Saccharomyces cerevisiae S288C: one gene and its partners. The protein of the gene in region 2 interacts with the protein of the main gene of each other region in a biochemical or structural test. Each region holds a gene or a part of one and is shown on either strand. Other genes may lie near its edges.

What was found.
Region 1: the proteins of TWF1 (region 2) and CAP2 form a complex in vitro, tested with the Saccharomyces cerevisiae proteins (2 studies listed by BioGRID).
Region 3: the proteins of TWF1 (region 2) and ACT1 form a complex in vitro, tested with the Saccharomyces cerevisiae proteins (4 studies listed by BioGRID).

The regions. Positions count from the first base shown.
Region 1 is NC_001141.2:288,726-292,058, forward strand, and holds CAP2 (F-actin-capping protein subunit beta), read right to left. Parts: upstream 1,365-3,333; coding exon 501-1,364; downstream 1-500. Other genes in the region: casein kinase 2 catalytic subunit CKA1, read right to left, coding at 1-183; cAMP-dependent protein kinase regulatory subunit BCY1, read right to left, coding at 1,694-2,944. UniProt on the Saccharomyces cerevisiae protein: F-actin-capping proteins bind in a Ca(2+)-independent manner to the fast growing ends of actin filaments (barbed end) thereby blocking the exchange of subunits at these ends.
Region 2 is NC_001139.9:640,023-643,896, reverse strand, and holds TWF1 (twinfilin TWF1), read right to left. Parts: upstream 1,888-3,874; coding exon 889-1,887; downstream 1-888. Other genes in the region: SLX9 (Slx9p), read left to right, coding at 117-749; YGR079W (uncharacterized protein), read right to left, coding at 2,065-3,177; tubulin-binding prefolding complex subunit PAC10, read left to right, coding at 3,526-3,874. UniProt on the Saccharomyces cerevisiae protein: Actin-binding protein involved in motile and morphological processes. Inhibits actin polymerization, likely by sequestering G-actin.
Region 3 is NC_001138.5:52,760-56,524, forward strand, and holds ACT1 (actin), read right to left. Parts: upstream 1,938-3,765; coding exon 1,928-1,937; intron 1,619-1,927; coding exon 501-1,618; downstream 1-500. Other genes in the region: YFL040W (uncharacterized protein), read left to right, coding at 1-213; Rab family GTPase YPT1, read right to left, coding at 2,607-3,227; TUB2 (beta-tubulin), read left to right, coding at 3,577-3,765. UniProt on the Saccharomyces cerevisiae protein: Actins are highly conserved proteins that are involved in various types of cell motility and are ubiquitously expressed in all eukaryotic cells.

The DNA of each region.
Region 1 (3,333 bases), on a different chromosome or scaffold from region 2:
GTCTAATTTGACACCTTGGAAAACCTCGGAGTATTTTCCTCGCCCAACTTTATTTTCAATTTCATAGTCCTTTGTATTTGTGGACCAATCAATTACAGTATTTTCATAATCCCAATATTCCTCGGTTCTTTGTTTATTGATATTCGTATAAACACGAGCCTCTGACCATACCCTGCATTTCATAGTTCGAATCAAATATTCCTTCTACAACCCCCTATTTTTGTCTGTATATTTGACTTCTTAAGTCCCTATTCAGAAAACTCCTAGTAGGTAATTGCAATACACCGAGTATCAACAGTATATGAAGTCCCTTAATCCGTTTTACTACAGGACTGCGAGGTTCGTCTAATTGCTACTGAAATTTTCCAAGCGTTGGTCATATTTTTGATTTTTCGCTTTTTCTTCAGTGTTCGTTCCGAGTGATTTTTGATAGCGCTTTTCTACCACTTAGTGCTGCTGTATGTATTTATATGATATACCAGCGATACATGTAAATATTTCTATAAAGACTGTAAACCTCTGATTACCTCTGCCTGTGCGTCTTTATTCGCTTCCTCAGCAGAGGAAGCAATGGCTGCGTTCTTTGTTTGGTGGAAGATATCTCTTGTCTTTTCGAAATAAACAGTTTCCAATAGATTTCTCATCTGAGACTCAATGTCCTCAATTAAGGAACCCAAATTAGCGACATGTGATGTGAAAATAACATCTAATGGACGGGACATATCAATAGCGATGTCCTTTTCGGTCTGTCTTGTCAGGTTCCCGGATAACATCATATGAGAATTCTGGTCAGTTTTTGTTTTGTCCAAGTGCAGAATGATTGTAGTGGTGACTCTATAGTTGAAACTGTCGGGAGAAGAAGGAGATGTTGTAACTTCAAAAACATGGATACTGTCCCAATTACTGTGATCTGATTGGTTTTTTTTGAAAAGCACTACCCCTGCAAAATCGTGCCCATTGAAATCTTCTTCATTGAGGTCCCAGAGGTACACGCTGGAGATACCGCCTTCATAATAGAGATCTCTGTAAACGTCGAAAGAGTCATTGGCTAAGATCTCCAATTTTCTTAAAGGGGCTGAGGGAAAGGGGCTGTCTTGTAGATCCTTTGGGGATAGTTCTGGGTAATAAGTGTTCGACCAAGGCGATCTGAACGAATCAATATCACGATTATAGTCGCAGCATAAGTACTCCCGGTTTGAATCGGCGGAATCTTTCTGTGTGGATAGGGGAACGTCTACTGAAGATAGTAAATCTTGTGCCAAATTTGGTTGTAATTCGATCAAGTTGTTTAGATTCTCCTGTAACGTGGTAGGATTTAGCCTCCTAAGAAGATCTAAAGCAGCATCGAATTGAGCATCAGACATTACGGTGGTGATTGTAGAGTTGGAGAGAGTTTTTGTATGTCACTTGATTGAACAGTTCTCCTTTATTTGTTACAAATGCTCTCATTTTTACGTTTTCCGTGGTGAAAAAAAAAAAAAAAAATGAACATATATACATGTAGTAACAGCAGTAGTAGATGAAGAATTTAGAGTTTAAACAGGTAACATAACGCTATAAGGGAAAGGAAAGTGGAGATGTTATACATTATATTTACGTAGACGTTGAAGGAAGAAGAAAGAAAAAGGGAACAGAAGAAGAAGAAAAAGAGAAAGGAAATTCATGTGGATTTAAGATCGCTTCCCCTTTTTACTTAATGTCTTGTAGGATCATTGAGCTTTAATACGTCTACTGCAGGACCCAGTAAACGTTGAAAACCACTTTTCCCCAATGTGGCAACTTTGGTTCTCTTTGTAGCAGTCACAGTGGCCTGTCTGGGCAAATCGTTTAGCAAGGCCACTTCACCGAAATAATCATGGTCTTTCAGTTTATTTATGACACCTTGGCCCTTCTTAGAGACGTCCACAGCTCCGTACTCAATTAAATAAAAGTTCTCCCCTTGATCACCCTCGCGAATGATTGTTTCACCCGGCTGGTAGATCTTGGTATCCAGTGCATCGGCAAGTTTGGCACGGTCGTACGTAGTCAAACTCTTCAAAACTGGCATGCTCTTCAAAAGATCGTCATACATGAGTCTCTTCTTGAAAGAGCTGCCCAAAAGTATTTTTCTGAAGGTGAGCCTGTCTAGAGCCCACAACAAACAGTCGGAGGTTGCTACAACGGTGGCAGCACGAGGGCTGTTGTACATAAGAGCAAGTTCCCCGAAACTGGAGCCTGGCCCGGAAGAGTTGACCTTGTTGTCGTTGACGTAGAAGTCAACAGTACCCTTTTCGACGACATAGAAGTAGTCCCCTTGGTCACCTTGCTTGATTATCGTAGCACCTTTGGGGACGGACTTCTCCTCCAGACAATTTATGACCAGCCTTTTTGAGTCGGAATCCAGCTTGTTGAACAGAAAGTTATTACGGATCGATTTTTCCAGTCTTTGCAATTGCTGCTCGGACTTTTCCTTATAGTGATCTGGAGTCCAATCGTCAAAATTGTTTGGTTGTAAGGTCTCACCACTAACAGAAGTACGCCTTTGGGCGTTGAAGTGCATTGGGAGTGGAGGAGTTGATGTCTTTTCTCTAGTATGCTGTTGTTCTTCCTGTGCTTGCTGGTGAGTGTCCTGTTCGTGCGGGTCTAAATTAAACCCACTTTTAAACACGTTGGAGTGTGGGTCCTCGTTCACAAAGGGGGATTTGAACATAACACTCGATCTGGATCTTGATTGAGATTGAGCTGATTGAGGTCTGGAAAATGACTCCTCTGGTTCCGGAAATAGAACAATGTTCTTTGCCTTAAATTCAGGCTCCCTGGCCTTGAGGAACGCTCTCTGTTGTTCCAGCCTTTTATTGAAATAGTTGGCGGAGAACTGAAGAAAGTCGGACGGATTAGCGGCGTTGATTTCGTTCTGGAACAGTTGCAATTCGGCTTGCGATTCCTTGGGCAAAGAAGATACCATCGTTTATTCTTACTGTTGTCTTTTGAAAATAATCTGCTTGTTGTAAATGATCTTCCTATTTATGTATGCGTGAAATGCGTGTAATGGATGTGATGATAGCGATCGCTTGACTTAGTCGAGGAAAGCGTAAAGTGTCCCTTTTTCTCTTTCCCTTTTCCCTGTTTGTTCAAATTTTCTCTTTTCTACCTTCCTCTTCGTTTTGCTCCTTGCCAGCAAAACGAGGAAGGACAAGAATTTTGGAGAGCGGCGGCGCGGCGCCATAATAAATGCACTTGAGCAAATGCAATAAGTTCAGCTTATGGCTTCTGCAACAAAGAAGAGGTCGGAATCCGAGCACAGTATAATCAATATATTATCAGGCAGAACAAAAGTGGCGGGTATAACACGAA
Region 2 (3,874 bases):
GAACGGGGTGACGCACTGCAAATTTTTCATGTTTTACATACTCAAGCATTACAGACTCGATGAGCAGAGATAAGAGACAGGAAATCCATTGAATATAGAAGCATAGATAAGCGATAATGGTTGCTAAGAAGAGAAACACGCTTAGAAGCAAAGTAAGTGCAAGAAATAGTCAAAATTTTGGACCAGACGTAGCGAACAATGGCATTCTGGACGAGAGTTATGACATAGAATCTGATCCAAGGGCCTTTCTGCACCAACCTAAAGAAACTAAAAAGGAAAAGCTACTTAACAGACAGAATACTTTCTTATCTAACTTGAAGGGGAAATCCACACTTAACGATGGCATAGCTGCCAATTTTGATGGTATTTCTAAATCTTCCATTAGACGTAGGAAAAGAAAGCTAAGAGAAGAACTAAAACCAAGAATGCAAGATCTGCTCACTTCTTTGGAGCAAGAAAAGGATTTACGGGGCATTATTGAAAATAGTAGCAAAGACATGAATAACGATGATGACATCGACATGGATTCTAAAATAAGGTTTGTGGACACAAAGGAAATGAACTTGAAAAAGATAGAACCTGGTTCTGTTAGGATAAAAAAGAATCAGCCAAATATCAGGAACCAAAAGGGTGCAAAGGCATTGGCTGCTAACGAAACTGCAAGATTCAATCAGGTCCTAACCAATCAAGATTTCCAAAAAAATCCATTTGGCGCCTTAAGAGAGGTTATCAAGCTGCAAAAACAATGAACATTAAATAGCATAGCATAACAATTTTTGCCAGTGTAATATATATTCCAGCAAACCTAGAAAAACATTCAGTTTCATATTTAGAAGAATAAAAACGTATGTATTGTTGGTCACACATATATAGATGCCATTTCTATCTCTATGTTCTTCTTTTCCTCAATGGGCCCTTTGGTTTGTTGAATTTCAAATTGCTTTTGTTTGGGAGATCTGGATTGGATCCATGATCGAGGCTATCTTCTTTATTTGTTGCCATAAGTAAGGACTTGTCTAGTTCCACAAAATCGCCAATTTCTACCACTTTACTAAATGCGATTTTTTGATCATTTTTCAAGTAGTTGATAAATCCATTCTTGTTAGAAGCATATATCATTCTATCTTTGACTTTGCTGCCAGAGGGACAAGAGTAGATAAAGAAACTTGAATCACCCTGCCTGAAAATCGTGTAACTTGGCCCGGGCAAGTCAATGTACAGTTCATCTACGGAGGGACATGTATCAGATTGCACGATCTGGATGGTTTCGTTCGAGGGATCGATTTGAAATATGATTAAATTTTTACCCTCGCTATCCAGTATTTCATTGATAGGTTTCTCAGAATTGACCCTGAAAGTTAACGATAAAGGCGAAGCACTGTCCTGAGAAACCAACTTGACGGATGTGTTTTTCCTTAAAAGTGCCTGTTGCTTATTGATTTCGATTTGCATTTCTTCATCATGTGTCAAGGGCTTATTCTGGCCAGCAGGACGGGCACTATCAAAATTTTTCAAATCCACCAAGTCCTGTGCATCTGTGATCAATGGCTGTTCGGTGGATAAAGAGTTTGAACCTACCTGTCTTGCCAGAGTGTTCTTCGTCGAGGCATAAAGCATTCTTGATCTTACCGGAGAACCATCGGGGATGAATGACACAAAGAAGTACTTATCAAGCCCTTCCGGCTTATAGAAGATGTACAACGGTTCTCTTTCTTGTGATGCCAACTGTACCAGCTCCTCGAAGCTACGTGCGACTTGCGTTTGATGTACCGAGGTAGAATCAGGGGAAATTTTGGCTATAATGATGACGATGCCATCTGCTGAAAGATTTTCATTCAGAGAATGCAGCAAGGCTTGTTCTGCGACTATACCGGATTGAGTAGACATGTGATGTGTTGAGATACAGAGTTCCTTCTTATTCAATTGCCTATCAAATTAGCCAACTTGTCCAAATAGTAAAAGATATAGATCTTATAATGACATATTTTTCAAATCCTACAAAAACAAGTTACCCTAACACTGTATAAAAAGAATCTATTTATTGTACTGTTAATAGTACTGTTATTACAACATGAATTCACCGATACCAAAACCAGCTGATAACGTCTGGCAAACACCACTCTTTCTTCTTATGGCCCTCTTCAACAGCTTATCTCTTTTAGACAAGGGTTTCCACTTTTTAGAAATTGCAGAGGATGAGCGCAGGGAATTCTTCAAAAACTTCCTTTTTTTCAAGGTGAACTTGCCCTCATTGTCTCTGTAGCACAATAACTTGATATTGTAGTCCAAATTATCAAGAAGGGAGGAAGATGGTGATGAAGATGGGGAGGGTTCCATGGCTTCAGCACTGTTGATATCATCTTTGATGAAGTCCTCTATTCCCAATGTGTCGTTCGAACTCGTGGTGGCGTCGCCTGGATGCAGAGCCACGAGGGAGCATTTTCTTTGTCTTGTCTCCTGCAGGCAAATGGCCTCTTCTGCAGTGCCATTTACTTCCTTCCAGAAGTCCGTATTATTTGCGTCACTCTTGCTATTGTCGCCGAAAAAGAATGATTGCTGTATCTGTGGTAGAAAGATACTGCTCTCGCTGCTATCGTGGAAATTATTCTTGTTGTGATTTTCCTCCATGGGTAGTTCATTGTCCGCACTGTAACTAAATGTGCTGTTGGTGAAGGAAGGCTGGTGGCATGGGGAGAAGAGAGGATCAGGCTCAGAACTATAGCCGAGCGTACTTTCGAGGTCGTCATCATCGTCATCATCGTGTAAATCTCCGTTTTGGGTGCCATCGTCCTCGGTGGCGTTCTCAGATAGTGAACCGGCAGTATCTATCGAACGAGCAGTGGTGATGATGATTGGGGTGGCCTCGACTGCACTGGCTGTGGTGTTTTTACCATCTGCTGTCCCGCGAGTGTCCGCTTTCTTTGTGTGCGATCTGGACAAGGGAGTAATATCCTCCTTGGTGATGACCTTATTCGGTACCTGAAATGCCTTGCTGCTTTTATTCATTGCTACGTAAACTATGCTATATGATACAAGTGAACGCTCGTCGAGGGAATAACTGCTGCGTGTGCGTGAACGAGTAAATGAATGAATGAATGAGTTAACACATGAAAACGAAGATAATCGCAAAACGACAATGAACAAATAAACACATCCCTCATTTGCGGCACTGCTCATCTCATCTCATCCTTTATATTAGGAGGCAACGAGCTTTCTCGCTCACCAAAAAGAAACGTGCGAAAAAAACCGAAAAATAAAAAAAAAAAAAAAAAAAAAAAAGAAACGCGCTGCAGGAACGTGACTTCCAAAAAAGGAAGGTGCCGTTCCAATATGGAAACCGCAGGCACTCATGATTGTGCAGGACGGGTAACACATGATTTGTTTCGTTTCTTCGATCATTTTGCAGAACTGGTCAGAAAAGAAAGTGAAAAAATCTAGTTTAACACTATTGTAGAGGCTATAAATTGTAGACAACATTTACTGCAGAAAACTGTACGCACATATATAACAGATACTACGGTTATTATGGACACACTGTTCAACTCCACGGAAAAGAATGCCAGAGGCATACCGCAGGCTCCATTCATCGAAAATGTCAACGAAATAATTAAGGACCCAAGCGACTTCGAATTGTGCTTCAATAAGTTCCAAGAACGGCTTTCTAAGTACAAATTTATGCAGGAATCTAAATTGGCTACGATAAAGCAGCTGAAGACTAGAATCCCGGACTTGGAAAACACATTAAAAATATGCCAAAGTCTGCGCAATCACAGCGACGAGGGCGATGAGAGCGATGAACCTATCCTGTTGCACTACCAATTGAACGACACGCTCTACACAAAGGCTCAGGTTGATATACCGGAAGATCGGGCGG
Region 3 (3,765 bases), on a different chromosome or scaffold from region 2:
GTTTTGATTTGGTTCCCAGAAACAAAGGGTATGAGCATAGAAGATATTGATAAATTCTTCGAATTTGAGAGTAAAGAGGGCACCAATTTACATGGGGAAAAGGGTATCAAAACGCCGGACTCAAATTCTAATGGCGGTTCTACAAGATCCTCCCAAGAAGGGCAATTGCATAAACCTATAAAACTGAAAAGCGATGAAGAGATGATCATATGATACACGGTCCAATGGATAAACATTTTTTATCAACACTATGATATATAAATATAATAGTTTTTCGTATATATATTCCTTTTTTTGGTCAATTTTTGAAATTTTCGTAGAAAAGGGAGAGACAAAACACATTATATCAATGAAAACGTACAAAAAGTAGATAAAGTCAGTGCTTAAACACGTCTTTTCCTTAAAAATACTTTATTATTTTTATTTTATTGAGAGGGTGGTTTAAAAATAGAAATAGAGAGAGAGGTACATACATAAACATACGCGCACAAAAGCAGAGATTAGAAACACTTGTGGTGAACGATAGATGGACCACTTTCGTCGTATTCTTGTTTTGAGATCCACATTTGTTGGAAGGTAGTCAAAGAAGCCAAGATAGAACCACCAATCCAGACGGAGTACTTTCTTTCTGGAGGAGCAATGATCTTGACCTTCATGGAAGATGGAGCCAAAGCGGTGATTTCCTTTTGCATTCTTTCGGCAATACCTGGGAACATGGTGGTACCACCGGACATAACGATGTTACCGTATAATTCCTTACGGACATCGACATCACACTTCATGATGGAGTTGTAAGTAGTTTGGTCAATACCGGCAGATTCCAAACCCAAAACAGAAGGATGGAACAAAGCTTCTGGGGCTCTGAATCTTTCGTTACCAATAGTGATGACTTGACCATCTGGAAGTTCGTAGGATTTTTCAATTGAAGAAGATTGAGCAGCGGTTTGCATTTCTTGTTCGAAGTCCAAGGCGACGTAACATAGTTTTTCCTTGATGTCACGGACAATTTCTCTTTCAGCAGTGGTGGAGAAAGAGTAACCACGTTCACTCAAGATCTTCATCAAGTAGTCAGTCAAATCTCTACCGGCCAAATCGATTCTCAAAATGGCGTGAGGTAGAGAGAAACCAGCGTAAATTGGAACGACGTGAGTAACACCATCACCGGAATCCAAAACAATACCAGTAGTTCTACCGGAAGAGTACAAGGACAAAACGGCTTGGATGGAAACGTAGAAGGCTGGAACGTTGAAAGTTTCAAACATAATTTGAGTCATCTTTTCTCTGTTTGATTTAGGGTTCATTGGAGCTTCAGTCAAAAGAACAGGGTGTTCTTCTGGGGCAACTCTCAATTCGTTGTAGAAGGTATGATGCCAGATCTTTTCCATATCGTCCCAGTTGGTGACAATACCGTGTTCAATTGGGTAACGTAAAGTCAAGATACCTCTCTTGGATTGAGCTTCATCACCAACGTAGGAGTCTTTTTGACCCATACCGACCATGATACCTTGGTGTCTTGGTCTACCGACGATAGATGGGAAGACAGCACGAGGAGCGTCGTCACCGGCAAAACCGGCTTTACACATACCAGAACCGTTATCAATAACCAAAGCAGCAACCTCTAAACATATAATATAGCAACAAAAAGAATGAAGCAATCGATGTTAGTACATGAGACTTAGTAACAGTAGCAAATAAAAGAAGAATATCACTATCACTTATCACGAAAATATTTCAGTTTTTTTTTTTTTTCCAAATTTCAAGCCCCTATTTATTCCAATAATATCGTGGTTATTACAGATCAGTCAATATAGGAGGTTATGGGAGAGTGAAAAATAGTAAAAAAAGGTAAAAGAGAAATCTCTCGAGCAATTGGGACCGTGCAATTCTTCTTACAGTTAAATGGGATGGTGCAAGCGCTAGAACATACCAGAATCCATTGTTAATTCAGTAAATTTTCGATCTTGGGAAGAAAAAAGCAGTAAGCGTGAAAAATCTAAAAGCTGATGTAGTAGAAGATCCTATTCTTTAACAAAGATTGACCTTTTCTTTTTCTTCTTGGTTTGAGTAGAAAGGGGAAGGAAGAATACAAGAGAGAGGAAAAAAAGGAAGATAAAAAGAGAGCGTGATATAAATGAATATATATTAAACAAGAGAGATTGGGAAGGAAAGGATCAAACAAACCCAAAAATATTTCAAAAAGGAGAGAGAGAGGCGAGTTTGGTTTCAAAACGGTTTATTTATTTATGCAAGAGGACGTGGAAGAAAAAGAAGAAGGAAGAAAAAAATTTGAAAGAAAAAAACGCGTGGCGGGTAAAGAAGAAAATGGAAAATAGAGGCCGGGTGACAGAGAAATATTGAGGGTTAATTGGAAAATATGTTAGGGTGAGGCATATGTTTTTAAGGGTTTTGAGGATCCGATAAGGAAGAATGTAGGTTAAATGTTGTGCATTAATTGCTGTGGCAGCTTACCCGCTTCCCCACACATTTTGGTAGTATCTGTCCTCTTGTTATTGTTACTGTAATTGTGTATATATGTTCTCGCGTGTGTCTTATTTACTTATTTAGTTATTATATTATATGGGTCTGCAAGGTAGAGGCGCGCTTGTTCAACAGCAGCCCCCACCGGTGTTGGTTAAACTCTGTCCCTTCAGGTTGACGTTCCCTTTGTCTTCCTTCTTCTGAGTGGTTTCGTTCAGGTTTTGTTGGGACATACTTTCCTTGATTTGTCTAGCCATGGTTAAAAACGCATCCTCGACGTTGGTGGAGTCCAAAGCACTAGTCTCTAAGAACGGCATCTTATTCGCGTCCGCAAATTCCTTTGCCACGTCATATTCCACGACACGCTTGTCCTTTAAATCACACTTGTTACCTACCAATAGCTTCAACACTGTTGAGGTTGCATACCGATCAATCTCTTGCAGCCACATCTTCACGCCGTTGAAGGATTCTTGGTCAGTGACATCATACACGATAATGATCCCATGCGAACCACGGTAGTAAGATGAAGTGATAGTACGGAAACGTTCTTGACCTGCAGTGTCCCAAATCTGTAGCTTTACAGTCTTGCCGTCCAGTTCTACAGTCTTAATCTTGAAGTCCACTCCAATTGTGGAGATGTAGTCGTTGGTATATGTGTCGTCCGAAAACCTCAAAAGTAAACAGGACTTCCCGACACCGGAATTCCCGATCAACAGCAGTTTGAACAGGTAATCGTACTCGCTATTCATATTAGTGCTTTTCTTGTTTTATTTATTTCAACCTGGGCCTAACAGTAAAGATATCCTCCTCAAAACTGGTGCACTTAATCGCTGAATTTGTTCTGGCTTCTCTTCTTTTTCTTTATTCCCCCCATGGGCCAAAAAAAATAGTACTATCAGGAATTTGGCGCCGGGTCACGATATACGTGTACAGTGACCTAGGCGACGCCACAAGGAAAAAGGAAAAAAACAGAAAAAACAACAAAAACTAAAACAAACACGAAAACTTTAATAGATCTAAGTGAAGTAGTGGTGAGGCAATTGGAGTGACATAGCAGCTACTACAACTACAAAAGCAAAATCTCCACAAAGTAATATAATGAGAGAAATCATTCATATCTCGACAGGTCAGTGTGGTAACCAAATTGGTGCTGCATTCTGGGAAACTATCTGTGGTGAGCACGGTTTGGATTTCAATGGGACATATCACGGCCATGACGATATCCAGAAGGAGAGACTGAACGTGTACTTCAACGAGGCATCTTCTGGGAAGTGGGTTCCAAGATCT